Linked DNA regions of Oreochromis niloticus. The protein of the gene in region 2 interacts with the protein of the main gene of each other region in a biochemical or structural test. Links are inferred from orthologs where the notes say so. Each region holds a gene or a part of one and is shown on either strand. Other genes may lie near its edges. The genes, in order: ube2s, uba1, ube2z and ube2j2.

What was found.
Region 1: of the proteins of uba1 (region 2) and ube2s, one has a biochemical effect on the other in vitro, tested with the Homo sapiens proteins (8 studies listed by BioGRID, with this or other methods). The link is inferred for Oreochromis niloticus from reciprocal best matches to the Homo sapiens genes UBA1 and UBE2S.
Region 3: of the proteins of uba1 (region 2) and ube2z, one has a biochemical effect on the other in vitro, tested with the Homo sapiens proteins (3 studies listed by BioGRID). The link is inferred for Oreochromis niloticus from reciprocal best matches to the Homo sapiens genes UBA1 and UBE2Z.
Region 4: of the proteins of uba1 (region 2) and ube2j2, one has a biochemical effect on the other in vitro, tested with the Homo sapiens proteins (2 studies listed by BioGRID). The link is inferred for Oreochromis niloticus from reciprocal best matches to the Homo sapiens genes UBA1 and UBE2J2.

What each region holds. Positions count from the first base shown.
Region 1 is NC_031976.2:22,314,862-22,322,486, reverse strand, and holds the start of ube2s (ubiquitin-conjugating enzyme E2 S), read right to left. Parts: upstream 3,195-7,625; 5' UTR 2,968-3,194; coding exon 2,965-2,967; intron 1,348-2,964; coding exon 1,200-1,347; intron 1-1,199. UniProt on the Homo sapiens protein: Accepts ubiquitin from the E1 complex and catalyzes its covalent attachment to other proteins. Catalyzes 'Lys-11'-linked polyubiquitination.
Region 2 is NC_031984.2:18,166,278-18,173,938, forward strand, and holds the start of uba1 (ubiquitin-like modifier-activating enzyme 1), read right to left. Parts: upstream 3,220-7,661; 5' UTR 2,996-3,219; intron 1,586-2,995; exon of another isoform or gene 1,347-1,585; intron 1-1,346. Other genes in the region: camkvl (caM kinase-like vesicle-associated, like), read right to left, coding at 4,754-6,244, 7,475-7,483. UniProt on the Homo sapiens protein: Catalyzes the first step in ubiquitin conjugation to mark cellular proteins for degradation through the ubiquitin-proteasome system.
Region 3 is NC_031969.2:1,108,501-1,116,550, forward strand, and holds the start of ube2z (ubiquitin-conjugating enzyme E2 Z), read right to left. Parts: upstream 3,194-8,050; 5' UTR 2,760-3,193; coding exon 2,308-2,759; intron 372-2,307; coding exon 299-371; intron 1-298. UniProt on the Homo sapiens protein: Catalyzes the covalent attachment of ubiquitin to other proteins. Specific substrate for UBA6, not charged with ubiquitin by UBE1. May be involved in apoptosis regulation.
Region 4 is NC_031970.2:26,352,816-26,360,932, reverse strand, and holds the start of ube2j2 (ubiquitin-conjugating enzyme E2 J2), read right to left. Parts: upstream 3,635-8,117; 5' UTR 3,500-3,634; intron 3,456-3,499; exon of another isoform or gene 3,197-3,455; intron 981-3,196; coding exon 850-980; intron 1-849. UniProt on the Homo sapiens protein: Catalyzes the covalent attachment of ubiquitin to other proteins. Seems to function in the selective degradation of misfolded membrane proteins from the endoplasmic reticulum (ERAD).

The DNA.
Region 1 (7,625 bases), on a different chromosome or scaffold from region 2:
TGTCTGGCTCTTCAAGGCCTACTTAAAAATAACGTCTGAAGCAATGAGTGCATAGTGGCAAGATATCATGATAGTTCAAGTGGCTTATGTGTCTCACATGACATTAACAACACCCACAAAATCCATAATTTAAGTGATTACACGACATCATAAATTTTGAAGGATCCACGAATGGGAAATAGAAATGTAAAACAGGCATTGAGGATTTATTATTCTACAAATTAATGGCACAAAAACTAAATTATGTACAGGTAAGTAAAAGATTCCATGAAAGCTGATGGCTTCCATTTAAGCTTCAATAGTTAACCACATAATACCTAAAAATCATGGAGCAGACAGCTGACTCGGCTCAGCCATCACCAGTCATGTTATTACCTTGAGCTGATAATACAAAGTTGGCTATCAATAAGAAACTCTCAGCCTTTAAATATTAGAGTATAAAGCTGTTTTTCTGGATGCTGAGTGGTGAAGTAACTAACACACTTTAAATGCACAGTTCGCTGCAAACATGACGCAGAGCTCAGGTTTTTTCCTGGACACTGGTGACCCTTTGATTAATGACCAGAACACACTAGCACGACTGCCTGGCACACAGTGAAGGCGGCGAGTCTCTGTCACCTTACTTAACAGAAATCTGAATTTATTTCTGGACATTTTAAAAAACAAGAATGCATGTAATGTTGAAGTAAATAAAATACAGTCTAAAAAGAAAAGGGGCTAAAATATTTTTGATAGAAACCTAGAAATTTTTGCATGCAGGAAAAACCCTGAGAGATAATATATTTATGAATACACAAAAAACCCTTGAAAATACAAGCTGCAAGGTGACTAAACTAGGATATTTTATCACTGAATAACTTAGATTTTGAAAATAAATTTCCACATTAGCTATTCGAGGAAAGAAGTAATACAATTAGTATGGTTTCATTAAGTATATTTTACTCGTCAGTCTCTGACAATTTGTCTACTTAATGAAATACGAAATGCTCTGTACTGAACTTTTATGATAAAATATATTTTGAGTCAGGATAAACTTGACAAATCTGATTCAAACTAGAGATCTTAAAGAAACTTTTGAGAGTCTAAAGCCCTAACTTATCAAAAGACCATACAGCAAATACACGTGGTGAGTTTACTCCCAAGAGTTGTGTCGGTCCTGCTCTAAGTGTGAAGTGATGACACCATATCATAATCCTTACCTGGTCCCTCTATTGCTGTGTGAAGCTCTGTTATGTCTTCTTCGCTGGGATAAATCTTAATGCCCTCGGGTGGATCTGCTGCTAAAGCTGAAACTTCTTTGTAGACCAAGCGAAGAACATGAGGTGGCAAATTCTCCACATTGGAGTTCTGGAGAGACATAACAATGGTTTAGCAACAGCGCTGAGAGGAATGATCAAGCTGTACTCTCACTAAGAATGAGGAAAAATGAAGGCCCTAACTTCACCTCAGGTACTGTTAAGATAAAGCTTTACATTTAGGCCATGTTAGCCAAAGCAGCTGAAAAAAACTCAACAAATATAGGATCACCAGATTCAGAAAAAAGAAAAGAATATCCTTGTGTAGGACAATGGGATGTGTTACTAATGCTGAGAAGTAGACTTAAACAAATTATGCAGTTTTGACATCAAGAATGTCCAGAAAAAAATGAAGCACATTTTATTACGTTTTTTCCCCCCAACTTCCTATAAGCAGAAAAGGGGTCTAAACTTTGTTCTATATTGTTATGTGATAGTTTGTACAATGTACATTTATTTCCCTTTTCTATAGCAACAACTGTCTTACACCATTCAGTGTTACTTCAGCTGACTTGGGGACTTTTTAAAAAAAAATTAGTTTATATTTTCCACATGTTTTGACTTTTTATTTTTAAGCATTCGTTTAATTTCCAGAATGGGTTCGCTCATTTTAGTTTTTCATTTTTAATCTTTGAAAATATTTAGTTGCAGCATTAGACAGTTTATGTTGACAAGCAAACTGGCTAAAGCTAAGGCTATTTCCTCTACATTTTGATTTTCACTTTCTTTTGTATTTCAGTCTACTCAAATATTTATTTCACACCTAGTTTTTGGCTTACTGCAAAAACCTTTGTAGGAATGTCTCAGTAGATGTAAACATTTAACAGCCACGTGTTTACTTTCCTAAACTTGGACTAACAAATAAATATGACACTGCCTCAATATGTTGGTCTGTTAGCACACCGGACACCTGTTCTTTAATATACAGCGAGTGTGAGTGAAGTAAATTTAACATTATCAAAATGTTTATTATGTAGGTATCGACTAATTACACACTAAAGCATAATTTTTTTCTATGGCTTTGATGATTTCGTTTCACACATTTTAATAATGTGTCGATCGGCCATATGGCAGATGAAAAATCTATCATCGGTACCACCTGAGACCATCTACATTTTCCTCTGCGGATCTGCTATCATTTTACACACGCTTTTCTATGTAATGCGCGCTTGCTAGTCATTATCTTCCTAATTTTAACACGTATTTACGTAATGAACATGAGCTGGAGCTCCTCTGGGGGAGCTACGGTTTCATCATCGAGCCAGCGGTCCCCGCACCACGTTAAGCATCCTCACAGAAGTCAGAGGAGTTATAACTTGATCAACTTGAAGTATGCTTTAAAGGCACAACAGTAGATAATTAATATCAGTTAAGCAATCGACGGGCAATGTTAACTTTATGTTACCGTTAGCATACCTAGCCTAGCAAATGCCTCGATTAGAGTTCGTGTTAAAGAAGCTTTTGGTTTAGTGGTAATAGTTTCTATTGTGTATGAAGGTACTTATTAATTACACGAATATACATCTGAAGACATTAAATAAACGCATTAACTTTTAACAAATAGACACAACCGCCCATAAAAATCGAAAAATAAAAAAAACTCGACAGCTAAAATCGGTTAGAGCTAGCAGTGTCTCCCATTAGCCGTTAGCTAAGAGGTTGATCTTACCATCTTCAAAAAGGAGCTCTGCTTGGGTGGTGGGTGTCTGGCTGGTGTCAGATATAAAGAACCGTTTCTAATAGAGTCTAGAGGAGTGAAAAACTATATTCGATGAAAACTTAGCCGGCTGGCTGATGATCGCCGTTCTTCTTTTCTTCTCTACGTTGACACAGGAACAAAAATACGATCCTCAGTTGAACCTTAAAGCACGTACCAATGAGCGGCATAGTGGTGTGAAACGTCAGAAGAGACAAACCAATCGAAATGCAGCGATAGAGCTGCGTCACGACAAAAAGCCCTATCAGTCACATAGAGTGAAAAGTACATCTGATACACGCCAGCGATAGGTCCATTTAAAAAACTCTCAAATCTAATCGATACTGAAAGATCAGCATCAGCTACATTGAACACCAAAATTAAGAAACGCCCACTGTTTAAACCAGCCTTCCTAATTTATTCAATAGATAAATACTTAACTTGATAAGCGGGATCACTTTTGTTACGTTGTATGATAGGTTTCCTTTAATGTTGGTTAATTAAGTTAACTCTAATCTAACAATAACTGACTAAAATTACACACACAGTTTTTTTCGTATTCGTGTACGACAGAAACGTGCCTGAGCAATACACCACCAAAAATAACAACACAATTAACATTTATTCACCAGACACACTTTTAGGTGACCTACACCTTGTTAGTACTGCTCTGGAGCCATTTTTGCCTTCAGAACTATTTTAAGTCTTCATGACATTCAACAAGGTGCTGGAAACATTCCTCAGAAATTTTGGTTCAGATTGACATGATAGCATCACACAATAGAAGCAGATTTGCTGCACATGGCTGCACATCCATGATGTGAATGTGCCTTTCCACCACAGCCCAAAGGTGCTCTATTAGACTGAGGTAAACTGGCTGTGGAGGCCATTTGAGCACAGTGAACTAATTTTCTTGTTCAAGACTAGGGCTGGGTATTGATAAGATTTTCACGATTCCGATTCCATTTTCGATTCTGTTTAACGATTCGATTCTTTATCGATTCTCTTATCGATTCTTTTTAAAAAAGGAGAACACTAAGGTCGAATAGCTTAGAACTTTGTTTTATATCTTCTCTTTGAACAAGATAGAAATTTAGGAGTAACATGGCCTTACAAAACCAACAGTGAGATCTTAAGAGATCCACAGCCTACGGCTCTTCAATGGGGTGTCACAGGGTCCCCAGGAAAAAAAATTGTTATTGCTACAGAAGAATATTTACTTTATTATTTTACATTTACAAAGTTTAACATAAATTATTCTGTAGCAATTACACAAGAATATCCAGTAATGTCCCTGCCTACAATTAAACACATTCACTTACGGAAAATCGGGGGCATCTGCTGTGGCAAATGGGTGCAAGCCTTTGACCACAAAAGGCTGCTCGGTGACATTCGTCTATCCTGGCCTGAAAGGAGACACTACCGGTAGACTGCAGCGAGAACTGCCAGCATCTGAGCCAGCCAGACTCTGTCTCTCTCATCATGGTCGCCTAAATGCAGCGCACAGTAATGGCAGGTTTTGTAATAAGGCAGATCGCGCTAACATAATATGCACTGTTAGCTGATTATTTACCTGCCGTATTAACGGGAGAGGACGTGCAAACATTACCGCTGCTGCTGGGTTGAGATTCACGAGTCCGGAGCGGAATTAAAAACATGACATTCATTTAAGGTTATCGCGTGTTTTGTGAGCAAACGCTTTTGCATATTCGTAGTGTTTCCTCCCTTAAATTAAATATCTACTTTGCAAGTATTGCAAGTTGCCCTGTTGTCATCCGTTCTCGTAAAGTATAATCAAACTTTTGAGCGTTTGAGCCGCTTAGGCGCCCTGCCAGGTAAATGACGCTCCGCAACGTGGTGACGTCATTCAGGGCGACTGGAATCGATAAGGGAATCGTTTGCAAAAATGGCAAACAATTCCAAGGAATTGAAACAGTGGGAACCGGTTCTCAACAAGAACCGGTTTTCGATACCCATCCCTATTCAAGACACCAGTTTGAGATTATTTGAGGTTTGTGACATGGTGTGTTATCCTGTTGGAAGCAGCCATCAGAAAATATGCACACTGTGGTCATGAGGGGATGGACATAATCACAGGTAGGCTCAGTTGGTACCCAAAATTGGCCAGGAAAATGTCCTCACATTATTACAACACCAGCAGTAACCCTGACCATTGAGACAAGGCAGGATGGATTTGTACTTTCGTGTTTAATGTTTATAGCAGAAAGACTCTGGGCAACATTTTCCCGTATTTGATTGTCCAATCTTTGTGAGCCTGCATTAATTGTAGCCTCAGTTTCCTGTTCTTACCTGGCAGGAGTGGCACCCAGTATGATCTTCTGTAACGGTAGCCCTGTAGCTTTAAGAATGTTGTGCTTTCAGAAATGCTCTTCTGCATGCTTTTGTTAGAATAAGTGGTTTATTTGAGTTGCTATTGCTTTCCTATCTGCTCGAAAAAGTCTGGCTGTTGTCCTCTGACCCCTGACATTTGAGCATTTGAGAACTGTTGATCACTAGATATTTTCTCTGTTTTTGGATCTTCTGTAACCCTACAGATGGTTGTGTGGGAAAATCCCAGTAGATCAGCAGTTTCTGAAATACTCAGACCAGTCTGTCTGACACCACCAATGCATGTTCAATGCCATGTTCAAAGTCACTTAAATCACCCTTCTTCCGCATACTGATGCTCGATCAGACAGGTCATCATGACCAAATCTTGACCTTTTTGCCAAAATTGTCCCACTGTCTATAATCAAGTTTAAAGAGGTGATTCAGTGACTCCAAAACACTGCCATATTTTATGAGATAGATAGATAGATAGTTGTATATAGCATTTGTATTCTATTTTTATCTTATTGTATATTTTATTCTATTTTATTCTACTGTATATAGTATTTTATTTTATTCTATTCTGTACAGTTGTGTACTGTATTTATTCTTATTTTATTTTATTCTAATTTTTGCTTCATAACTTTTGCACTGTCCACTTCCTGCTGTGACAAAACAAATTTCCCACGTGTGGGACTAATAAAGGTTATCTTATCTTATCTTATAGATAGATAGATAGATAGATAGATAGATAGATAGATAGATAGATAGATAGATAGATAGATAGATAGATAGATAGATAGATAGATAGATAGATAGATAGATAGATTTAAATATTTAAGCATAACAAGTCACCTTTACAGTAGTAGGAGTTTATGTAAATAAGTGTAGGAGTCATTTGGGTTGATACCTTATGTATGCCGCTAAAGGTCACTTTTTGAGTTTTTTGTTGTGGAAATAAAGAATCTAAAGGACAAGATGAGTAAGGCTGGAGTTATTGGACTGTATCAAGTTAAATATATTCATGCATACCAGTGACATCCCTGTCATTGAGTACCTCAGTGGCTTCAAGCGTAGGCTTAGCCTCTACAGTAAGACTAAGCTTAGGATTTTGTCACCCTAACAGTTACAGTAATTAACAAATCTATTAGATTACTTGCCATAAAGTCTGTAAAAATATTTCAAAAATCTGTTTAAAACTAAAAATGATTTTGTTATTCTATTAGACACATTAAACAAAATTGATTTTCCTAAACTGGACTTCCATCCAACCATTAAAATTTTTCCTGCACAACTGCAAATAAATACATTTATCTCAATAAAAAATAGACAGATTTAACATTTTTTCTGCAAAAATGTAAATTTGAAAATTTACAGTTTTCACTTTATGGATTTGCTTGCTTCCATTTTAAATTGTTTTAAGTTCTAACTTTCTTTTATAATAGGGAAAATTTTTATTAAGAGCTAATAATAATTTGCTAATAATTTCAGAATACATACATTTTTCGACTCCTTCCTTTAGGGGTCGCCACATCAGATCATCTGCCTCCATTTCACCCTGCCCCTAACATCCTCCTGTGACACACCAACCCTTTGCATGTCCTCCTTCCCTACATCCATGAATCTTCGTGGTGGACTTCCTTTTTTCCTCCTGCCTGGCAGCTGCACATTCAATATCCTTTGTCCAATACATCCACCATCCTTCCACAGCACATCCCCGAACCATTTGAGCCTTCCCTCTCCAGCTCAGCCTCCTGTCTCTTTGTCAGTAGCACCGTCTCCAAACCAGACATGACAGCAGGTGTCACAACTATCTTGTAAGCCTTTTTTTTTTTACTCTTGCTGCTATCCTTCTGTCACAAATCACCCCCCACACTCATCTCCACCACTGTCTGTTCTTAACCTCTCTTATGCACTGTTTGTTGTCTTGGATGTGACCCCAGGTATTTAAACTCATCCAACGTTGCAACCTCTGCTCCTTGAAACTTTACCTTTTCACCTCTCTAGTCTAGTTTAGTCATACTTCTACTGACTTTCTTCAGCTCTTCAACCTACTCCTGGTTCTTACTACAAATCACAATGTCGTCTGCAAACATCATTGTCCACTATTTCAGAATAGAATAAGGCAGTCATGTAGAAATCTCAAGTCTCACCATACAATGCATCAAAGCCTTAGTCAGGCAGGCTTTGAAAACAACATTTCCTACATATTTTCATGTATTTATTTATTTCGTTTATTTCAGTTTGGTGGTTGTACAACTTAATTTCATTTAGTTATCTTTTTCCTAGAATATAGTTGTTGTTGT
Region 2 (7,661 bases):
AAGAAGACAAAGACAGCACACTGTCAACAAGCTTGGATTTCCTGAATGTTCTCAGAAGCCAACTGATTCCAGTTAATATAAACTGTAGTAATTTTATAATTCACTGCTATGGTTCCATTATAATAAGTACCTAAACTAAAGGCTAACCAGTCCCCCTCATTTTGAAGAGAGGATTTTTAGCCTAGAGAGCAGCTGGGCTGGCTTCAGGCCAAACACAAATCTGCTAGAAAACGAACTGAGGCTGGGAAGAGACGAATAGCATTACCGGTTCTTTCATGCTCACAGAAAGCACAGGTTTGTTTAGATACTTCTTTTGTTTATTTTCCTGGTATTTATGGACACCCAACATCGTTTCAAGGAAAAGAGCTGAATCATTAAAAGTTCACTGCGGTAAACTGAGCAATACCACACAATGGCTGGCAGGTGCGGACACAAGGACCATGCTGTGCTGCAACTAAGTTGTAGATGGCGATGTTACAAGAAAGCTCTAAACAGCAACATTTAATAGCAATGCATTTACTTATGCATTTAGATTTCTGACGCAACGCAATAGTCGCGATAAACCTCTGCACTCGGGAGGGCCGCAGTATTTTTCAAATACATTCTAGGCGCACAAAAAAAAGAAAAGAAAAAAAATCGGGCACAATTTCCGCATCCAATGCGGCGCCAACTTCCGTGCATTTCCCAAGGCACACGTATCAGTTTATAACCCTCTCTACGACTTTAAATCATGAGGACACCTGGGCAAATTTTCATACGACTGCAACCAGCCTAAAATAGCTTTCATATCACCGTTAACCGAACGGTCTCGCTTGTCAAAACCGAAAATGAAGGCGTCCGGCATGATACAGCAAAGCCGCCCGGCTGTTACAGTAGTTTGCCAATCCTACTAGAAAACGTTAACGGGTAGCAGTCGATTTAAAGATCTCAATGTGTAGAAAAATATAAATTAACTGTCAGATAACAGCACCAATAGAAAACTAAGTAGGTTCCGAACCACTAATCGGTTAAGTGATTTGGCAAGTGGACAGAGTCTAAACATTAATAACTTAGAGGGAAGAAAACACCAGCTTGTCAGCTTATCCATTAGCAGCTCGGCCTAGGCCTGCATTACCCTCAGTGCGGAACACAATTTTACAAGCTAGCAGCTGTGGCTACACTCCAACCGACCTTCTCGCACTGGAGAGCAACGGATTTGACAGGCGTCTACCACAGCTTCTATATGGACATGGGTTAATGTCTAGGCATCTAACAAAAAGCACAATTTAACTTTGTCACTTAACATAAACACTACGAATACAAGCCAAGCCACTACACTCGTGCTCCATTGATTTCCCTTTCCTTACCAATAATCCTTCTCGGTCCCTTCCCAATGCGAACCCGCTCCTCTCCTGCTGTGTGTAGCTGTCAGTAAAAACGCTGATTGTATATTCGACGATTTGTACAGAGAAAAGAAACGCGATGCGGAATTGGGGTGGTCTGCACTATATTGTCGAGTCACTATGTCGTTGTGCCGATAGTCTCTCCTATGTAATTGCGCTGCTGGCTTTGCGACTGCAGACAGGAACAAAACCAAAATGGCAGATGGGGAGAAAGGGGCGGAGGAGCTGTGACGCAGGGGCTGAAATATTCAACAGGAAAGGGTGGTTGCAAGCACGCTGCTCATCCAGGTCCTCGGCTCATTGGCTCTTCAAGCCCAAGCTAAAGCGCGTTGATCCCGCCCTCGCTACGAGAGGATGCATGCCAAGTATCTTACTGTACAATGAACAGTAGGATCTCCAATAATCTAGTGAAAAAAAACAACACTTAATGAAAAAAAATAAATAAATAACTCCGGGTATGTCTGAGATCATTGCATGAAAGGATTCTCCCTTAACGGAGCTGAATGTAACTCATCAGTAACAACACCTTTGTTTCAGAGGCAGATTAGCAAGGATCAGTCATCTTCATGTGAACTCCATAAACAAAGCTGAACACCAAACTTGCAACAATGCACCATCATAAAGAACACATTTTACAACTCCATTGGATATACTCTCACTGGAGCACAATTTGCTACATTCCACTTAACACACCAATTGTTTTGACTATTTTCTGAATTCAGCAATTATCATCACTACTCAAGTCGGATAGTGTACGATCCTTATTAGCTAGTGATGCTGAGCGTCTGGGCCTTTTAGTCACATTGAGGTTAGGGGTGAGCACTCCTTGCAGAAGAGTATTGGGGGAGGGGGTGCCTAGTAAATGACAAAGGCCCAGGAAAAAAAAAAAAGAGTGGGCCGCATATACTCGGGTACACATGTCGAGGTGATCCCCTATTCTCATCTTCCAACTAGAAAATGCTTAAGACCCTAGTATTACACCGTTCCCTTTGAACTGAAGCATACGAATATCAATGATGTCCGAATAATAGGCTGCCTAACTTGACAAGCTAAACAGAGAGACTAGCCAGTGTTAGGTTAGGTTACTGTGATAACGCCGATAACGTGCCATCGAAACGGGAACCCTACATATACAATCAGATATACGAGGAAAAAAAATAGTGCCAGCATGTACGCTCGTGATGCCAGTTAGCTCGTGTCTGTCTTTCAACGTAGTATCCATCAAATGTTTGAAGCAACTAGCCTTCTAGCTACCATTAACGTTATTTATCGCCTAACATTAATTAAAGCAGCAACCCCGTGCACATAAAAACGTGCAAATGCTAATTTGCCGTTAACAGTTACGTGTCAGTGCCTTGTTAGCTACCGTTAGCGGAGCAAGGAGCTTAAATGGTTCGCTCAGCCGTCTGCAACTAACATTAACGACTACCGATAACGCACATCAAAAGACTGCGTAGTTGTTAGCTTGTGTGCGGCTAGCTTTCGAGCTATCTAGCCACCCAGCGACTTTTTCCCCTTCTTGTGCCGCTATGTTAGCTAACTAGCTAACATTAGCAAACTAGCTGAGGCTAACATCACCAGGACGAGAGCTTACACAAGTGTGCAGAACTTACCACATCCGATATTTACTCGGCCTGATCTGGAGTATTAAAAATCGGCTTCTGCTTAAGCAAAGAAAAACAACAACCAAGGTGACAATTCAACACCGCCACTGACTGCAAAGTGAAAAGTGTGTCACGGTGGCGGGCTCTGTGTGAGTTTTTTCCGCTGGACGGCTGCCTGTCCGGCTGTTCCCAACCCGTTTCCCCTCACTCTATTTCAGTTGAAAGCAAAGCAAAGCAGCAACATGTGCACGTTACAGGCACAACCATCATTCCGGGTCTTGGGGTTAATTGAAAATGAATAAGATTGGTTTGTGTCTGCTCTGTCTTTTAATTAATCGTTAACGTTCACACATCCCATCCACAAGATAAAGCGTACTGAATATTACACTGCTCTGTGGTTTAGTTGTATATTTAGAAACAAGACTACTTTTGTTACCCCCGTAGCCTTACAACCATGGACTAAACCGAAGTTCACGCAGTGCCTTATGGGACTTGTAGGCATATAGGATAATATAATAGAACGCCTGTCAGAAATCTGCCTTTTGGATAAATGTTGATTAAGCACGTAAAAAACAAAACAACAAAACACGGCTGTAATTCTAAAATGTTTTTTTGAAGAGTGATCAAATGATTTTAAACAACTCAATATATATGCATGTATTTACTGGCTTACTTTTATTGAAAGACTTGCAAACAGTGCACATTTTACATAGGGACAGAATAGTGGAGATCTAGACTTGTTCAGGAGAAAAGCACAGAATCTGGTATTACATACACCCAATAGCAGAACAAAAGTCAGAACAGTTTTATGATGAAAAGGATAAAATAGGCAGGATTGTCCAGTTAACGGTACCAAATGAATGTGCTGACAAAACTGGAGCAAACGAAAACAAACTATCTGGAAATGTTTGGGGGAAAAAGGAGAGAAAATGTAAGTGTTACCGTGTTATTGCAAAGCCTTTATACAGTATATTTTCCCCAGCTCTCTGACAGATGTGGAACAACTCATAAGTCTAAGTGACAGTTTAAGTTTAAATATACTGTTTAATAAAACAAATTTTAATTTCTTGCAACCAGGGGAATGGCTTTATCAAATCAGTTTCACATATTTCTGTACAACTTTGTGACACCAAGCATCACAACAGAATAAATAGCCACATAAATACATAGTAACCCCCCAAAAATAAATCATGGGACGATCTGCTTTGAACAAAAAAAACAAGTAAATGTCACTTTGGAAGTTCACACCATGGAAGAAAAATATGACTTAGGAACCTAGTTTGATTTTGTTTATTTACAGTTTTTAGGGTATAATACTTTATTTAGATCTTTTCTTTCACTGTTAGTTGAGAATTTCGCCATTCTTATTTGTGCAGCTTCATAACTTGGAAATTTGTTGAGTGCTTGGATTTCCATATGAGGTCGTTGTGTGGTAAACATTTAGGCACACAATCTGGATTTAGCATACTTTCTTTAGATCTTAACAAACTTTTAAGATCTTGATCTGTGAAGCTGTCATACAGAAATATATATATTGTACTCCAATCCCTCTAGACTCCAGTGATGAAAGTGTTTGGAATGTCAGAAGGGCGTAGGGTCATCTGGTATGAATATGCAGCCAAACCAAACAACAGTGTAATAACTTCTCTTTTTGCGCACAATTAGGCAGTCCTTCTGGGTGAGACAGTCATTAAATCCTTAAGTTTAACTATGAATACAGTGTTCCAGGTATTTTTGCCTTTGTGTATTGCATCATGCACACCTGCCTCATAGTCCCCTGCCTATCCCAGGTCTTGGTGACTGGCTTGAATGAGCAGGAGCCGCCTGTACATCTCTGTCTTCCTGCTCTCCCAGCGCCTGGGGTGAGGCTTCTGTGGGTGGAGATGGTGGGGGATAGGCAGGAGGAGGAATGCTAATGCGAGGAAGAGATGGCAGCACAGGTCTGGGAGAGGTAGGAAGTGGTGGTGGGGTGCCGGTGGTTGCAGATGTGGACCGCTGTGAGGGGCGTGCACGAGAGGTGGCGGGAGAGGCGTGTGTGCTCCGAGCTCGAGGTTGCTCAGCAGGACAGTCACTGATTTGCTCTAGGAGCGACGGCATGTCTCCCTCGATCTTCTCCAGCACAGCAGCCATTTGCTTTTCTATCTGCTCGATCACACTGTCCATTTGCCAATCGCTTGAAGTGCTGCTCCCCCCACTGTGCTGTAGCCCAGTTCCATACCTCCCTACACCTCCTCCACTTGTATACAGGGAACTGTATGGACTCCCATAGCTCCCAGCCATCCCCATCCCCATAGCCCCAACCTCTGGATTGTATGGTGTGGCATGACGGCCCAAGCTAGCAGAGCTTCCAACTGCATAGCAAGCCTGTCCCGGTGTAGCACCTGCTCTTGGTATGCTAAACTCAGCGCTGTATCTATCTGTTCTTCTGGCATTCCTGTCCTGCCTATCTACTGGACTGGCATCGCCCCTTAGCCTGACTCCTAGTCCTCCATCCACCCCTGTACCTGGCCCCACTGCTGGAGTGACTGGCGCCACCACAGACTTCTCTGCCACCGCTTCAGGTATTTGTGTCTGACACCAACTTCCGTCAGTCTCATCCTTTTGCTCGCTTTGTGTGACTGGTCTCTTCAGCGGTGAGGCTGATGCAACAGCGGATGCTGTGTGTGAAGGGGCATGAAGTGTTGCAGCCATTTTACATTTGCTGCTGGGATCAGGGGAGGACGATATGTGTTTTTTGTCAAGATTAATGCCCGAAGTGCTGTCTAATAGCTTTGAGGCCTCAGGGCTCACCGCAGGCGTCTGTTTGAATTCTGGAACAACTTTATTTTGGCCCAAATTTGCAGCCATTTTCCTGGTTCCGTCACCTGCTCCTTTCTTTACACCAACCTTGTCAGGCTGTTCCTGGGTACAGTTGGGGACCGCATTTGATTGACAGAAAAGGTCCTCTACACCTGATGGCGAAGTTCCTACAGATGGGCCTATATGCATCTTTACCTCCTCTTGTTTTTCTCCAGCCTTAACTGTCTCTTTACTCTGGTCCATACCAGAGGGCATACTCTCAATAGTAACTTCTAAAGACACACTACTTGATGTCACCCCACCATCACTCGTCCCTTTCTCTCCCTCATCACTTGTTCCCTGCGACGCACCCCCTTCACCATCCCCTGCCTCCTCACTACCCTGAACCTCAGCAGAGCTATCAATCAATGCTTCTGAATTCTTCAGGCGTTGCATGAATGTGGTGACACGGATCGCTTTCTGCGAAACAGACAGAAGTAGAAGAAAAACAAGAGAAGGATGGTTAGAATGAAAAGAATGAGATCTGCAGCACATTTAATTTTCGTTAAAATATATTTCCTCTTCCCCCCCCGCTAAAAAAAATAAATACTTTGATAACATAGTTATGGAAAAGCTTAAAAAATAAGCTTCAAGGACAAGCATTTGACAAAAAAGCCTGTCAACACACCATGATTTTAGCAACTTCGTACTAAGAGCTGAGATATGATTTGTGTGACATGAAGGTAGATTAGTGCCGGTTGTTTACTTCCAGAAGGCTATGACATATTGTGCCCTGGTTTAAATCAATCTCAAGTCTCACCCTCCCCAAGAAACTCCTTGAGTGCTTGCTGACTGGAAAAAGTAATCAAGCAAATGTGTATAAATCCCCTTCTTATAAATGTTACACCGATCTGATTCCTTCTGCTCTACAAACACTGAAGGAGTCAGGGGGGAATGTGTGAGCTTAATAACTGCTAATAAACCAGGGAAACGAATTCCCTTGAATTCTCTGGAAGTGAAAAGCCACTAGGACACAAAAATGCTACAGAAAACAATATCTCTTAACTGAGAAGCTTTAGTATTGCTTCAAAAATGATTTAAATGTAACAACAGTATGGGACAATGGGCCAGGATTCACGTAAGAGGAATGCCAGAGGGCCTTACAGTATAAATCACGGCAGTTCATAAGTTCACAGTGGCTAAGAACCCTTTTGTCCTTTCCATTTAACCCTCTCCTTATCTACACTAATTTAAATACTACAAAAGTAGTGAAGAAAAAAAAACTTGCTTCTCTGTTGCTTATCTCACATTTGCAGATCTGGATTCATAAACTAGTGCAGATGAGGAGAAGGAAAGGAGTAGAGCAGGCCACTTTGAACATCTGGGTGTAATCCAATGACAAAAAGTGGGGCAGAGTGGATGGATCTCTTCTGGGACAGGCAGAGTGACAGTGGGCAGGAACAGAGCTTGGGAAGAGTTTCAACGGCCCCTGACATGATCAATACATCTCAAAGCTGACTTGGGTTTAACATTTAATATAACATTTTTTCCAAACTGATTTTTATAGAGATAGGTTCTGATAAAAATCTCTTTTTAACTTAAAAGCATATTTGGCTATCAGAGAGATGCGTTATTGAGTCATTCTGGACTAAATGTGAGTTTCTCCCCACGCTCTGCCCTTCCACTGTCCTTCAGAATGAAAAACAATACCTTTAATTCCTGGGAACCACATGGAGAAAGAGAGAAGAGGATTGTTGCTGTTACTTAAGCTGTTAGGTTAGCATTGCCACCACTTTCCTTCTTTGTCTTCACCAGTCTCATCCCTGGATCGCCTTATCAGTTCCACCATGTCATTCACAGACTTTAAACATACCTCTGCTGAGTTGTGTTACGAGCT
Region 3 (8,050 bases), on a different chromosome or scaffold from region 2:
CCGGTACAACTCTAGTTGAATGGAAAACACTGAGGTAGTCACAGTTTAAAGGACTCTTCACTTCTCTGTTTTGCACTTTTTACAGCTATACCACTTTTTTCAATTCAGTTTTATTTATATAGCGCCAATTCACAACAACAGTCACCTCAATGCGCTTTCAGTACTCCAGAGGAAGTCCAGTGCTGATCCTGATTTGCATCAAGCCCAGGAATAAGAAGCCTACTGAAATCTGATTGGCTATCAAGTTAACATGTTAATGATGTCAAAGGATGGTAAATCTCTGTACTTTGCCTTTTACCTTGGTCATGTCCTGAGGATCAGGGACCACGAACATCCCTGGTGGAGGTTCCTTGTAGATGGACATAATATCCCTACAGACAAAATAAACAGATGAGGTTTGTGAAACACTGAAAAATGGAGAGAGAACCCACAAAGAAATATGCCCCTAAACATTCCAGCAATCCACTAGTAAAACAGTATGCCCTGGAGGTGAATGATCTTAATATTTTCAGAAATCTATTATAAAAAGTACATTTAAGTACAGTACTGGGCCCTAAAGTTGCTCTAATGTGAAGTTTTCTAGCATACTAACGCAGTCATTAAAAAAAACCTACCATAGTCAAGTTGGCAATTATATGCAGTGTGTTTCTGATAATACAGCAATTAACAGTGATAAACTGCATCTGTGTTCAGCAACCCTGCTGTTCTTTAGGAATGAAACCAAAATACAACCAGCTGAGTCGAGTCCTCTCGACTTGTGACAAAGACTCATTCAAACTGATACCAACATGTTAACAATCTGTTTGCTTTAATACATTAGACGGGAATTATTTACCAGAGTTGCAATGATGCTAGAACTTCCAGGAAAAGACTCGAAGGCAACAAGAATGTTCAAGCTATCAAGCTGCATAAACAGGTAAATTAAGTGAAATTGTACATTTCATTAATTTGGGTCAAGCGATTCCTTAATAACTTTATTTTTGTTTATTAAGCAACAAATTAATGAAATGTTAAAAATCAAAGAAGTGTGTTCATGTATGTGTAGGTCAAACTAAAGCAACATCTTTAAACATAGGCTGAGTGCGCTACTGTCTAAAATACTGCTCAAAGGGTATCTCTCAGTTTTCTGGATTTGTTTACCGTAAGACTGGTAATCTCAATAAGCCGTCTCAAAAATCAGGTTATCAATTTGCAGAGTTAAGCCTGCATGTTTGTGTAAACCAGGTGGTGTTGGCAACATTTTACCAATCTAAAACAGGAATTTCAAAGGCAATGTTACTCTTTTTCCACAGAAAACGATCCCTATAAATGCCAACAATTCAATCAGCAATATTATTAGATGATGATAAAATTGTGATTAAAAATCTATAAAAAGCATAAAACTTATAACAGCAAAATGCAACAACTGCAAAGAAGACATGCAGTTAATGCTGCAGAAAATTATTAATCTGGTTATTTAGCACACAAAGCCCTATAAATAATTAACTGGAATTTAAATGTTTATTTATCACTGAGTGCACTCTCAGTGCTGGTGTTTATTTCTAAGGTGATGGCTACACGTTAGAGCTCTGAAACTTTGAACTGGTCCCACTAATCCAGGCTTAGTTAAACATATCTCACTCAAAACATGTCACAAATAAAAGACTCAGTGAAAACGTGATGCTTCCAGAAAGTTTTAGTTTTTATTCTTTCAGCTACAGACTCAGTGGTGTTGAAGGGTTTGAAGCAGTACAGTGTAAGTGTCCTGTTTTAAGATCATTAATCCTTCTAGAACAATAAAATTGCTGTAAAACTGTCTGCTTCTAACATTAAAAAATACAAATAAAATAAAACCATGGAATAAAGCTGTATCTAAGAATCTATATTTATTACTGATGTGAAAGCCAAAGACGTTACACGCTATTAAAACAAAACAACAACAACTTCAGACCCTCTGTGGGACCTTCTAGGAATGGTGAATTTTCTGGATAACCGATTCGTCAGAAGGCAACGATTTCACACCTGTTGGTCTCTGATCTCGAACTTGACCTGCTCTGGGGGAGGTTAAGTTACCATGGCGACAAATCCTGGTACGAAGTTAACCCGAAAACAGATAGTGAACAGAAAAGTAACCCTGTGGTTACCTGGTTCCGACGAAATCTCGCTTCTTATTACAGACCTCTAGTTTCCCAAATGTCCCCGTCAAATGTGACGTTTTAGATGCTGTTAAAAACTTTACGGAAAGATTTCACTTTCGATTGCAGGTCTAGATTACATAAATATTCCCACCTGCGTCAGATTTGTGTGTGATATGTTTCCTAGAATTACCTCTTTATCCTCAGGATGCACTGCTGGGAAGCTTTTTCGTTGTCCCAGTCCGTGCTGAGAGTTGGGTCCCAGGAAGTGGCATTGATTTGAGAGAGGAGGCCCGCTCCTGCCGCCCCTAGCCCAACACCGGGGAGAGGCGAGGAGGCATGCAATGTGGGAGACACGGCCACGACGGGTGGTGAAGAGCCGGGAGTCAATGTGTTCCCAAAACTGACCGGGGTAGCAGTGACAGCGGACATAGGGGCCACCACAGCTGTTAGGCCACTCTGCGCGGTGGCGGCAAGAGGCGGAGAGGCCGGGTTGGAGCTGGAGTGCACACCGCCAGTTGCCGACATTCCCACCGGCAGAGAGTTAGACAAAATCGGAAGCTGTGAGGCTCCGCTCCCCTGTCCCGTAGTAACGTCTAAGCCTAGGGCACTGCTGCTGGACTCATCTCCAAAGCTGTCCGCCATGGCCCACAAGCTAGCAAGCTACAGTAAACCCGTTGGTGTTGAGTAATTTATATTTTTCTCCTGCGCAGCATTGACAATAGAGTTTAAAGATAACCTGCTTCCTTTGGTGCCCAACGCGGATCAGACAGCAAAGAAACCGGGCAGAGGCGAGGCCAGAAAGCGAGGCAATTCTTCCCAAGACATAATGAATATTTATCGTTAGCTTGACTGTCTTTACCCCCAGGCCTCCAAAAAAAACTGCTCGGTCTTCAGCAAAATTGCAACGTCACAGTGTTACGGTTACCACTGCCCTCTGGATACTGGTTTAAACCATTAAATCCTCAGAACATTTGGTTTATTACCAACCACATCCCTACCAGTCTTTTACCATCGCAACTTTAGGAGCTTGTATTTGTCACCAGTTAAGAACACGGAAATAATAAAGCCACGGCACATCCGGGCAAAAATTTTCAAAGTAAAATTCCTGAAAATTAAAAAACAAAACAAAAACAAAAACCAAAAAAAAAACCAACCCACCATCATTTCAGCTTTTGCAGCTAGCTTTTGAGCAAGGCCATGCTCAAAATTTGCAAAAGAATGGGAAGTTATTGTGCCCTCACAATCAACTGTCCGAGTTTGTGATCCACTTCTGCATCTGCAGAAAATATCTCAGTTTGTCTCCTCCTTTGCCTCTGTAATCTAAAACAGAGATAATATGTCTTGGATAATTTTTAAGATATTTTTGTACTTTTTAAATATACTTTTTTACGTTTTTTTAAAATTTGGAATTGGAAAATGAGTTGAGCTGAATGCTTCCTGTCAAAGTTGGTTGCCTATCCAATGCATGGACTCAGCCCTGTAATAAAATCAAGACTTGCATTTTTTCTAATGGTCAGCACCTGTGAAGTATTGTAGTTGCAAAAGCTAAGTCCCGTTCTATGAAAGTCAGTTTGGAAAACAGCCCTCAGCTCCCTTGACCTATAATCAGAGTAAACACTTAATGAGTAAGTAAAAAACACAGTAAAGAGCTTAGGCAATAAAATTAGATCAGAAAATGAGCTTTCTCCAAAAGGTGGATAGGGTTTCCCTTAGCAATACGGTGAGGAGATCAGTATTTGGCAGGGGTTAGGAGTAGAGCCGCTGCTCCTTTACATCAAAAGGAGCCAGCTGAGGTGTGTGCCTCCTGGGTAAGGTGTTTCAACCGGGCCTATCCTTACGGTAGGAGGTCCCGGAGTAGACCCGGGACCTGGAAAGAATATATCAATTATATGGCCTGGGAATGTCTTAATATTTCCCCGGATAAGCTGGAAGAAGAAGAATCTGGTGAGAAGGTCTGGCGTTCCCTGCTTAGGCTCCTGCCCCCACGTTCCACCGTCAGATAAGTTATCGAAGATAGCTTTTTATTGTTTATTTATTGTTTTAATATTTTAGATGTTAACTTTTATTGAAGTGGTTGTCTTGAGTTTTCAAACAGTGTGCATCATTCACAATGCACGGCACATAGTGCCACAACTTTCAGTCGCATTTTATTTGTTTTTGGCTGTTAATTTTTCCCATTTTAATAATATGTTAAGATCTTTTGTAGTAACATATTTGTGTGGATGCCTTTGAGGGCATCCACACTATTGAGTTCCTGTTTCTCTTTATTGTGTGGATGCTGGAGGCTCTTTAAACTTTATTGTGTGGATGCCCTAAAGGGCTTCCACACTATTTGTGTGGATGCCCTAAAGGGCTTCCACGCTATTGAGTTCCTGTTTCTCTTTATTGTGTGGATGCCCTCAAAGGGCTTCCACACTATTGAGTTCCTGTTTCTCTTTATTCTTTATTGTGTGGATGCCCTCAAAGGGCTTCCACACTATTGAGTTCCTGTTTCTCTTTATTCTTTATTATTATTCTTCTAGTTGCTTCCGTACACTTTTTGGACTTCAACTACTCCCTCAGTTTTCAGCCGATTTTCTCAGTTCAAACTATACTGTTCTGCCCTTTCTGCTCTTTCCGGCAATGACTTTTGGTGTTTATTACTATCATACTTTTTAAAATATTACACTTTTTTCCTTTAATTTGTCCCATTGAAATGAATGGAAAACTTCCGCAATTCTGCTAAAACTTGCTTGTTTTTGAAACTTAACTACTTCCTCATACTTTCACCTAGAAACTCCATTCAAACTTTAAAATGTTCTCAGATTATTGGGCTATTCCTGTCTGATTCAGCTTTTTCAGATCTTCTACTGTTTTAATCTTATCCCTCTTTAAGTTTTCAGTTGCAAAATTTTGATTTTTCAGAAAATACATGCGTTGTTATGGTTGCTATGCAATTAACTCAGAGTGGACACTCATCCATTCTGAATTTTCTCTTCATGTTCCAACAACTTCTTGCTACTCGCCCAATTTCCACTCAAGCTCCACATATTATACATCAAAACGTAGGTATTTTTGCTGGCTTTCAGAAAAAGGTCACTATCATTGTTGTGGGAGTTATAGATTTTTTGCAAATCTCCTCAGAGTAACACAAAGTCTGAAAATTGTCTTTAGAAAGTCAATGGAGAGTTTGTTCAAAATCACCGCTGTATTTGTCTAATGAGAGGCATTTTTAAATCGTCATATCTCCTTAACGAAACAAAGTTGAGACATGAGGCTTGTGCAAATATATCTTCAGACAGTCCTGATGCTCACAATTCAAAAAGTTTTTTATCACCTATTACCGTTTGGCCAAGAATTACACTTGTTTGAGAGTAGGAAATTCATGCCTTGCTCAGATCTCTACAGATTTCAAACTCTGGAAATGAGGCACTTTTTTCTCTCGTCATATCGTTTTGATGGATTTCCACAGAGACCTGAAAATTCCCATGACTGTTCACCAAAGCCTGCTGTTTCTTACGGTGAAAGAATGATTTTGATGCTCCATATAGATTTAGAGTTACAAAACGTTGTTTGAGGGCAGGTCAAGGCAGTTTTGCTTTGCCTCTACTCAGTTACAGTGTATTACAAGTCATATATCTTCAAGAATTTATATTTTATCTCTGAATTATGAAGACCTGCAGATTTCCCCATCTCTTCTGAACAAAACGGTGTCAGAATGACCGTTCTAGCTCCTACGGTTAGGAAATTATGGCCATTTGTTCGAGGGGAATCCTGAATGTGAGAAATACACTGAAGGAAACCCATAGCTCTCTGTGTGTCTGTGTGTGTAAGTGCTGATTACAGCAGGTGCAGCCAATTTAGCTGACCTAGATATACCAAGCCCAGACTCTTAACAGCCCCTGTACACTTTGCTCTCTGTGTATGTGTGTGTGTGTATCAATATCTCTCCCATGTTAAAGTATTACTCCTCCATAATAGTATTTGTGCTATATCAAAGTACTTCTACTACATTTTAGTACTTCTGCTCAATCATAGTATTTCTGCTAAATCATAGTATTTTTGAAAAATCATGTTGTTTGTGCCAAATCATGGTTTTGGGGCAAAACCATAATATTTATTTCATGTTATAGTATTACTACTAAGTGGAGGAATGTCTGTCATGTTATAATATATGTGCTGATTACAGTATATCTGCCAAATCATAGTATTTATCTCGAATCATAGTATTTATGCCAAATTACAGTATTTCTACTAAAAAGCAGAAATAGTACCTTTTAGCAGAAATTTCTGTCAAAAGATATTAGTTATGTTAAAACATAGTATTTCTGCTAAATCATAGTATTTCTGCCAAATCATAGTATTTGTACTAAATCATAGTACTTGTGGCTATTCATAGTACTTGTACCCAATCGTATTATTTCTGCCATATCATCATATTCGTGTCAAATCATAGTATTTTTCTGCCAAATCATGGTATTTGTGCCAAATTATAGTATTTGTGCCCAATTAAAATTTCAGAATCAGAATCAGAATCGTGTTTATTGGCCAAGTATATGTGCAGACAAATACAAGGAATTTGGTTCCGGTAGATGGTGGCTCTCGAGCACAGCAATGTAAATCACACACAGACACAGACACACACGCACCCACACACACACACGTATCTATATATACATTACACATGCATACACATACATACACAAAGCTGTGTAAACCAACTATAACTAATCTAAACGTATATACATAAAATACAGAAATGAAATGAGGTGGAATGAATACTACAGAATGTACATAAGGTACAGTTACAGTCTGGCAGTGGGAGCAGTGTGACAGGTCAACTGTTTAGAAGGGAGATGGCGAGGGGAAAGAAACTGTTCCTGTGTTGGGTGGTCCTGGTCTGCAGGCTTCTGTACCGTCTGCCAGAGGGCAGCAGATCAAAAAGTCTGTGTCCAGGGTGTGAGGGGTCTGTGATGATTTTCCCTGCCCGTTTCCTGGTTCTTGAGAGGTACAGATCCTGGATGGAGGGCAGGGGGGCGCCGATGATCCTTTCTGCTGCCCGTACAGTCCGCTGCAGTCTGCACCTGTCCTGTTTAGTGGCTGCACCATACCAGACTGTGATGGAGGAGCACAGGACAGACTCAATGACTGCAGTGTAGAACTGGATCAGCAGCTCCTGTGGAAGACTGTACTTCCCCAGTTGTCTCAGGAAGTACATCCTCTGCTGGGTCTTTTTGAGGATGGAGTTGATGTTGGTCTCCCACTTCAGGTCCTGGGAGATGGTGGTACCCAGGAACTTGAAGATCTCCACAGTCGACACAGGGCTGTCTGATATGATGAGGGGGGGCAGAGTTGAGGGATGTCTCCTGAAGTCCACTGTCATCTCTACAGTTTTAAGAGTGTTCAGCTCCAGATTGTGCTGACTGCACCAGAGTACCAGCCGCTCAACTTCCTGCCGGTATGCAGACTCATCACCATCCTGAATGAGGCCAATGACGGTGGTGTCATCTGCAAACTTTAGGAGTTTTACAGCTGAGTTCTTGGAGGTGCAGTCATTAGTGTAGAGGGAGAACAGTAGTGGTGAGAGGACACATCCTTGAGGGGCACCAATACTGAGGGACCGAGTTTCAGAGGTGATCTCCCCCAGCCTCACTTGTTGCTTTCTGTCTGTCAAGAAGCTGGTGATCCACTGACAGGTAGCTGGAGACACGCTGAGCTGGGAGAGTTTGGAAGAGAGAAGTTCAGGCACGATGGTGTTAAAAGCCGAACTAAAGTCCACAAACAGGATCCTGGCATAAGTTCCCGGGCGGTCAAGGTGTTGCAGGATGTAATGCAGCCCCATATTCACTGCATCATCCACCGACCTGTTTGCCCGGTAGGCAAACTGCAGAGGGTCCAGCTGGTGGCCTGTAATGTCCTTCAGATGGTCTAACACCAGTCGTTCAAAGGATTTC
Region 4 (8,117 bases), on a different chromosome or scaffold from region 2:
TTGGTTGCTTTTTCACTCACTTTCACTTTTGCTTTCTTGTTTGTTAAGTTACTGAACACTGTCCTAGGATTCATTCCAGTAGAAAAAGGGATGACTCAGTATTGTGTACACACATAAGAGACAACGGTTCAAAGTGACTTTGTTATTAGCAGCCTGTTGGAAAAAACACATATTCTGTTCCCGCTTCTTTAGTTGGCTCTGCCAAAAAATATTTTTTTTAAATCCCAAACTGGTAGTATTTTCTGTAGAAGCCTGTTGCAACAATGATGATTTCTTCCAATTTCTTAGGTCAAATACACAAAAAACAACAACAACATAATTTAAAAGTCATAAAAATAGTAGTTTTGCACCATGTCCTTCAAGAAGCACAGAGAACTATTCCTAAAGAAAAAGAAAACACACAAAAGCTTGCCTAAGAATTCAAGACATAACGACTTTCAGCATTTCAACTCAGAACTGTGCAAACTTTTGCCTTGTATACTGTATTTCCATTTATGTTTGCACATGTTCCAAAAATTGCTGCACCGGTGTCACTTTTTTAGCAAAATATAAAGAAATGAGGACTGGCTCCAGACTTTTACACAGCACCGTACATTTTTTTTAAAGCTCTGAAAACAGAATTAAAACTGCATCCACTGCTAAATACAAGTGAATCTGTTCATCTTGGAAACTACGATTCAATTTTGTTGGTGTAAAACAGTAGCCTGATTTTACACATTAAATGTTTAGTTTATTATTTTTCTACAGAATATACACAGGTTTTAAACTTTGCCGATGGCCCTAAACACCCTTCCCTGGCCGGACATCAAGAGTCAAAAAGTCCCAATATTTCCTGACTGAAGAACTTACCATTCTAGGATGTTGGAGGGAAGGGGCTCTGCACAAATGTAAGGCACGGGGTCTTTCTTTATCCTGAGGTAATCCTGCTTAAGTCTCTGCGTGGCTGTAGTTGGAGCTCTTTTGTTCCCGTTGTTGTTCATCTGATGATTGAGAGAACATGAACAGTGAGAAAACAAAAACAGTGAATTGCATAAATCTGGTTTTACACTGACATCACTGTCCAGATGTATTCCTTTACATTAGGAAATCAAAGCATATCCTGTTTTACTATGGATCTGAACTTTGGACTGCATAGATTTGAATGACTGAATGAATGAAGGAAGAACTCTGAATGAATCATTCTGGCTAGTGGAAAGCTTTAACCCTAATATGCCTGTGAAAGGTAACTGCAGCTTCAACTAGAGCAGATCAAAAAACTTTGCCTACAGTGCATCCAGCACTGTCACCTGACCTATTAAATATCAATACTATTAAATATTTGATAAACTCTTAAACATATCACTGCAAATATTATTTATATAGTACATTTCATTTCACGTAGGTTAAATGTGCTTGCCACAAAGGATAAAAATATTTTTTAAAAACTATGTAGCTCTACAATCTCTTAAGGCAATAAAAACAACATAAGAGAGATAATGGTAAATGGCCTGTATTTGTATAGCGCTTTAGATAAGTTAACAGTCACACACACACACAAAGTTATTAATCATATGCCTGCAAGAATAAAGCGGCTCCAAGTTTGGTTTTGAATGTAGACACAGTTGGACCTGACATCAGGTCAGTGGGAAGGTTGTTCCAAAGAAGAGAACCATTATAACAAAACGTACCCTCAGCAAACTTTCATCTCATTCTGGTAACAGTTTACAGACTTGCACCTGATGACCTGAGAGGTCTAGTTAGGTTATAGACCTAACTAGACCTCTCAGAGTCAGAGATGTACTGGGGGTCAAACCACTGAGTGCTTTAGGAACAAACAGAAGGATTTTAAAGGCATTTCTGTATTGCAGTGGCAGCCAATTAATTTCGAACAAGCTGAAGTTATCCAGCTGATGATTTGGATAATCTTGCAAATACACCATTAACCTGGCTGATATGAATGGATGGACCATTTCCCAGTTGAGATAAGAATTTTTTTTCATATGGTTATACTGTTAGAAAGTTGTATATGCAGTTGTGTTGGCCTTATTAGTATGATTATTAATGCTAAGACCACTGTTCAAAATAATGCTAAGGTTCCTAACATGTTCAATGTGTTTCAACTAGAGTGATATCGGGTTGAATAGTCTAACAGTGTGTTAATTTACAACAACAACAAAAGCAGAGAAGGGCAGTAAAATCTCACACTGAACAACACGTAACCAGTACAGGCTTCTGTTTATTTATTAGCAAATGCTAACGCTAACTGGAGAAACAGGCAGAAATAGCTCAATTTTGGCTGCAGAGTGAAGTTTAAATATCAAGTGATGACTTCCCCTCTGTTTTCCTAAAAGATGAAGTTGTCCAATTAGTACATCTTACAAAAAGCACCGAATTTTAAAAACAATTTATCCCATCTCTCATTGTTCTCTAATGGCGCTGTGACTGTTTGTTTTATAACTCATGCACAGCACTGCTGTGGTGCTTTAATGCTATATGCATACAACACTGCCTCGCCAAGTGAAAAAGTAAGCATTTAGCAGAGAGTGGAGTATAGTAAGTATTGCGTTCAAGTTAAAATACGCATTGTGCTCCAAATACTTACACAACGGATATAAATGTACTTTAAACTTTCTTCCCCTGTCAACCCATGTAATTGAAAATTACGACAACAACAGACACTGTCAACTGACCTGCTGTCACGGGGACAAACGCTGACATGTAATAAGCAGTACGTGGACCGCAGCAGTGCTAGAATTATGTCATTATCGCTTCCTAATAAAGAGGAAGGCTTCTTAACGCAACTTATGTGGCTGAGGCTAATCCGCTACTTAGCGGCTAATGTTGCATTTCTGGCACATTCAGTGCCTGTCATAAAGTCTGATAATCAAATAATAAACAACTATTACGGACCAAGCTTCGGCTACAGAAGGACTGCATATGTGTCTGACCACTCTTTAATCACACCACATTTTAATCAGTAAAGCCAGTTCAGGAAGACTAGCTTGGCACGGTGGCTTTGCTAATGCTAGCCGGTGTCGGTTCCTGTTTGAGTGCATTTTAGAACAAGCGGCTAACGTTAGCCAACGTAGGCCACTGCTAACCGGCTAATGTTAGCACCTACTAGCACGAACAGTTGTATTGTATATTGTATAACGACAGCTGACCGCGACATCTCTCGCTTTTATTAGTAACTACGGGATGTGTAGTGCACACATACCTCTCCAGAAACCCCAACGAAAATATGTATTCGTGGCTGGACACGAAATAAGGTTGTTGTTTCTGTTGCCAACCCCAATCCGATAAGACGATGACACCAAAGTAGCTTACGCTATCGCCAGCAGGAGGAAAAATTACACTTCCGGTTTTCTTCTTCATCGCTGCTGTAGCAGTCGAAACATTACTTAGCAAGTGCTTTACTGTCGCTAGCTGCCCAATCTCGATCCTCCTGGAAGTCCAGTACCGTCTTACAAACACGGTCACCCTTCAATAGCTGTCTTTTAGTCATAACATCCGTACTTACATTTGTAGTCAATCGCCAAGTAGCACTTGACACACTGCACAGCGGTCTGTCTGATGCGAGGGGCTCAGAGGGCCTCCCGGTACTTTATGCTGGTGCTTAAATTTGGATTTGAAACAAAACACGGACTAAACAACATAAAACATTCCACAAGACATTTAATAATTTCAGTAGATTTTTTTTTATTTGACTTCTGCCATCAGCTACAAAACACTTAAAATAATTTTATCAGAAATTTCATCACAAATGCTGAACAAATAGGTATAAAAGGATTACTTCACTTAATTTAAAGGTCAAGTTTAATTTACTCATCATAGAGAGCGTCATTAAGCTTATGGAAATATTTGCATAAGCATTAGCAAACACAGTCAAACCCGGATTATTTTATCTGTGTTATTTTTTTTTTATTTTGTTGGTGTGCCTGTGAGACCCAGGGTTTGGGGAGCTCGACTGCTTCCTGAGAGGATTTTTTTTTTTTTTTTTTTTAAATTACAGTAAATAACAATCATCACCTCTTGCATTGCACTGTTCTCCAGGGAAAACTCGGGTCCTGAGAGTCATGAGGACTTCCTTGCACATATGACCATCTGTCCAAAAACTGTTGCACATAAAGAAATTGTACTTCCTGTTGGCAGAAATAGGAACACAAAAAAACAAGCCAAGGCACTGACCCAACCTCCAGGCTCCCCAGATTCCATTTTGATGATGCATCTACATGATGTCCTATCCAACTCAAGCTCCAGAGGTCCCATTGTTCATGCTCAGACAGGTCCAAGGTTGAGTTGACTTATTAGTTGGACAGGTTGAGAACTGTTTTGTTGTTATATCTCTAAAGGTCATCAAATGTTAATGTCAGCTCTGCTGGATGACTAACATTATCAAAACTGGAGTAAGTCAGCTAAAACATCAGGGCAATAGAAATGTTTGGCTTTGACCAAGTTTATTTACGAGAGAATATTACAACTATTACAAGTCTGCTGTAGTTTTAACTTGTCCCTGCTGGAATTTGACTTTTCTTTTTTTCATTCCCAGAGCATTCACTTTGCAGGACCAACATGTCTTCTAATCGAACGCAGCAGCCTCCTGCCTGATTCCAAAGTGACTGAAGAGAGGTCGGATGAAGTGAGGGGTCAGCAGTGATCACTTTGGCTTCTTACAGCTGCTGAACTGTAAGCTCCTTCTTCTCAACTTTTCGGGATGGAGAGACGCGAGGAGAGAAAACTCGCGAAAGACATCAGTGAAGGAGATGTCACCTGAAACAGTGGACACTAAAGTCAAGGATCTGTCCCGATGCAGGGCACCATGGAGAATTACCAACCTTCTTTTAGAATATGCGATACATTACCGTGAAAAAATCTTGAGACACCACTCATTTCTTTTTTCTTTTGGTAACACTAATCTATGCCTAATACTGTTTCATTGTGAGTTTTTCTATCTAGCAATGCTTTGCCAGTGTGGTTGAGATCATTGTAAGCATTAAAAATGAAGCTGTCATCATTACATGGTGGGTCAAAATCTGACAGTATTTTTCTGCGTTCATAATTCATTCAATTTTGACAAGATCCCAAACATCACTGGCTGAAATGTCCAACCATGACAATGCTGTAGACACTCACTGACACCAACTAAAAATATAAAATTTGAATTCATCACTCCTTCAAAAATGTCGCCACTGATTTTTAGTCCAATTCTTGTATATTTGGCGTATGTCATTCTTCTTTACCTGTTTTCCTTTCCTAAGAATCTAGCCACTCTTGCACTGAGACAATTTATGATGAGGCTTCATTCAACAGTAGAGGGATCAAATGAAGGGTCAGGTGCATATCTCAGAGCCTGGGCTGGGCCTATGCTGTATTTCTAACCTGTTTCTTAAGCACATGACTTTCAGATTCTGTTCATCTGTTTTGTTTTTTTAATCAAATCCTTTCTTGTCCCGTTTCCTCAACATTTTAAGCGCATGCTGAAAGCCACGTGGACATACGTTAAGTTTCCAGCTAATATCTCTTCAGGAATCACCTCATTGGTGCAAAAATAATGTTTTTATCTACAACAAATGATTTTAACCATTTGTCAGAAACACAGTGACTAAAAATAAAATTTAAAATTGGTTGTTTGGCAAGTTGTCTGTTAAGACAAGCCTGGCACATCCCTGAAGTCAGAAGCCTTTTTATACTTGAATGAATCATCAGTGTTGATTGGAAATTGTGAGGCACAAAAACTGTAGTAAAGTTCAGCAAAAAAGCAGCTGATGAACTTTGAACTATTGACCACATTTTTGAAAATAACATAAAAGTCTGGTTTATTAGAAGCAAATTAAGAAACAAGTGGTGACTCAAGACTTTTGTACAGTACCGTATATAAGCAAGAATATAAGGAAGAAAGATCAGATTAATGCTTGCTTTGCATACCCACGAAAAAGAAAAGTGCCCACAGCCTCATATTTTTGCGTAGCTCCTAAGCCTAGCCCTGTGAATCATGGGATGTACAAGTAAAAAACCTTTATTTCCTCTTAAATGGGATTCCTGGATACTCAATAGCAAGTGTGGAATAGTAGTGGTGAGCATCCTGTCCACTCATGGCTCAGACATTCATTTTTTTTTAACTTACCAACTCGCATTGAATATGGTCAAAATTACAGTTTAACTATATAAATCCTGTATTGTAGTTGTCTTGGCACATCCTCCTTAAGGCAATGTTCCTGTTCCTCATTTATAAGAAAGGGAAAAGACTGGCAGCATTATCACAGCAAATGTTTTCCAAGCTTATCCATAAAAATAGGAGGGGGGAGGGCCACAGAGCAAGAACCTCAAGTTAAAGCGCAACCACCAGAGCAGGAAAAAATCATAGTATCACGCTAGTGTGCCACAGCAAGACAGCCCAGGATGCTTCACTCACTCTATCCCGAACATCCTTAGGTTTTACTCTCCTGCTGCTCGGGGTACGTCCTGTGGTAATAGAAGCAATGATATGTCAGTCAGTGGTTATTTCCTCAAGTGGACATGTGTCATTTGTCTTTAGTGTTAAATCGAAGGAATTAGAGAGGACATTTTATTCAGGGATGGTGTGACAACGCTTGTGAGAGCACATACATGTTTTACACACTGGAGACACTGAATTATTCAAGGCACAGTGTTGCTGCTGCAGGCAAGAAGATGAAGCACTGTTTTAATATCCATAAGACTCTGAATGCTTAAGTTATCCTTAAATAGCAGAGTCTGGAGGGATCCACGTGTACACCTCAGTGATATTTCACAACATGAGACTAATCGGTTTATTGCTTTGAATAAGCCAAGTGCTACCAAAAGTTTGTAAATTGCCAAAGACACACCAGAGTATTCTGTAAAGTAGCACTCTCCCAGCATCTGGCTATATCTATGGATTACAACCACTGCCGTATTTATTATTATTCGATAAATTAGAGCAGCTATCATCTGGAAAAAGAATGCTGGGAGAATGTTACACAGAAAAGATGAGCGAGGGAACAGCAATGAGAATAAGAAGCAGGCAGCTGGGTTAACAGATCCATTTCAGTTTCTCAGTTTTATTGTATGTATTTTGTTTTTTTTCCCCTTAGTGCTTCTAAAGACATGGAAGAGAGTATTCCAAAGATATCCAAATGCCAGTAAACAGAAGAACCCCCGCAAGTAATTCAGAACCGTGTCACAGTTCTACCCGACCGGCTGTTTTTCAAAGACGATGAAAAAACAAACATTAAACAGAATCTGTGACCGAATGCTGAGAGGCAGGAAGTTAGCATTAAGTTAAAATATGCAAGTGTACTATTTACAGCATGTTTGCGCCTTTAACCACTCTTAAGTCAATACTACACACAAATGGACACAATATTTAATACTTCCGCGAGGGCGACAGCTCTTAACAGTTTGGTCACAGTAGCTTCACATCACCCCCCGAGACTGGTTCTACTTGCAGTACATTGAACTATTGCATCTATCAGGCAAGTCACATCTTCTGAACATGTGAGCACCAACAGTGTTTCTACCACTCTCACAACTCAGAAAGGATGGTAAGAGTATCCTGTATATACCCAAAACAATTCTTCTTTTTTTCCTTTTTTAACATGATGTTATACAACAGTGTCAGACACTTTCCCTTTAAAAAAAAGTCTTTGGCAGAGGAAAATAAAACCACAGTATTTAAAAAAATGAAAGAAATGAAAAGAAAAGAAGAAAAGTCACCACAGATTCGTGTGTGGATGAAACAATGGCACAGAGGTGCAAAAAGGAAGAAACTTCTGACACCAGAGAGGTCATATTGGTACATGCTTTTTTTGACAGGACTGCACTGCACAAAGTGATCAAATTATAGAAAAAATATTCATCATGCTCAAGATGCAAAGAAGGTCAAACTTCCAAAAATCTAGCAAAGCATACAGAGGATATTCTTGGCACTGACCTAGATATGCAAGTCCTGTCACGACACGAGTTTTTAAAAGAGGCTCCATAATTTCACCATAACACGAATACTTTCCTGTAATATTACCATTGACAGGAAACTGGAGAGATTTTTATAGTTTCATGTTCCATAAATGGAAGTGAATTCCATGATGCAATTTTACGTTTCTGCATCTCTTCACTGCTCTGAACTATTTCCATGGTTATTG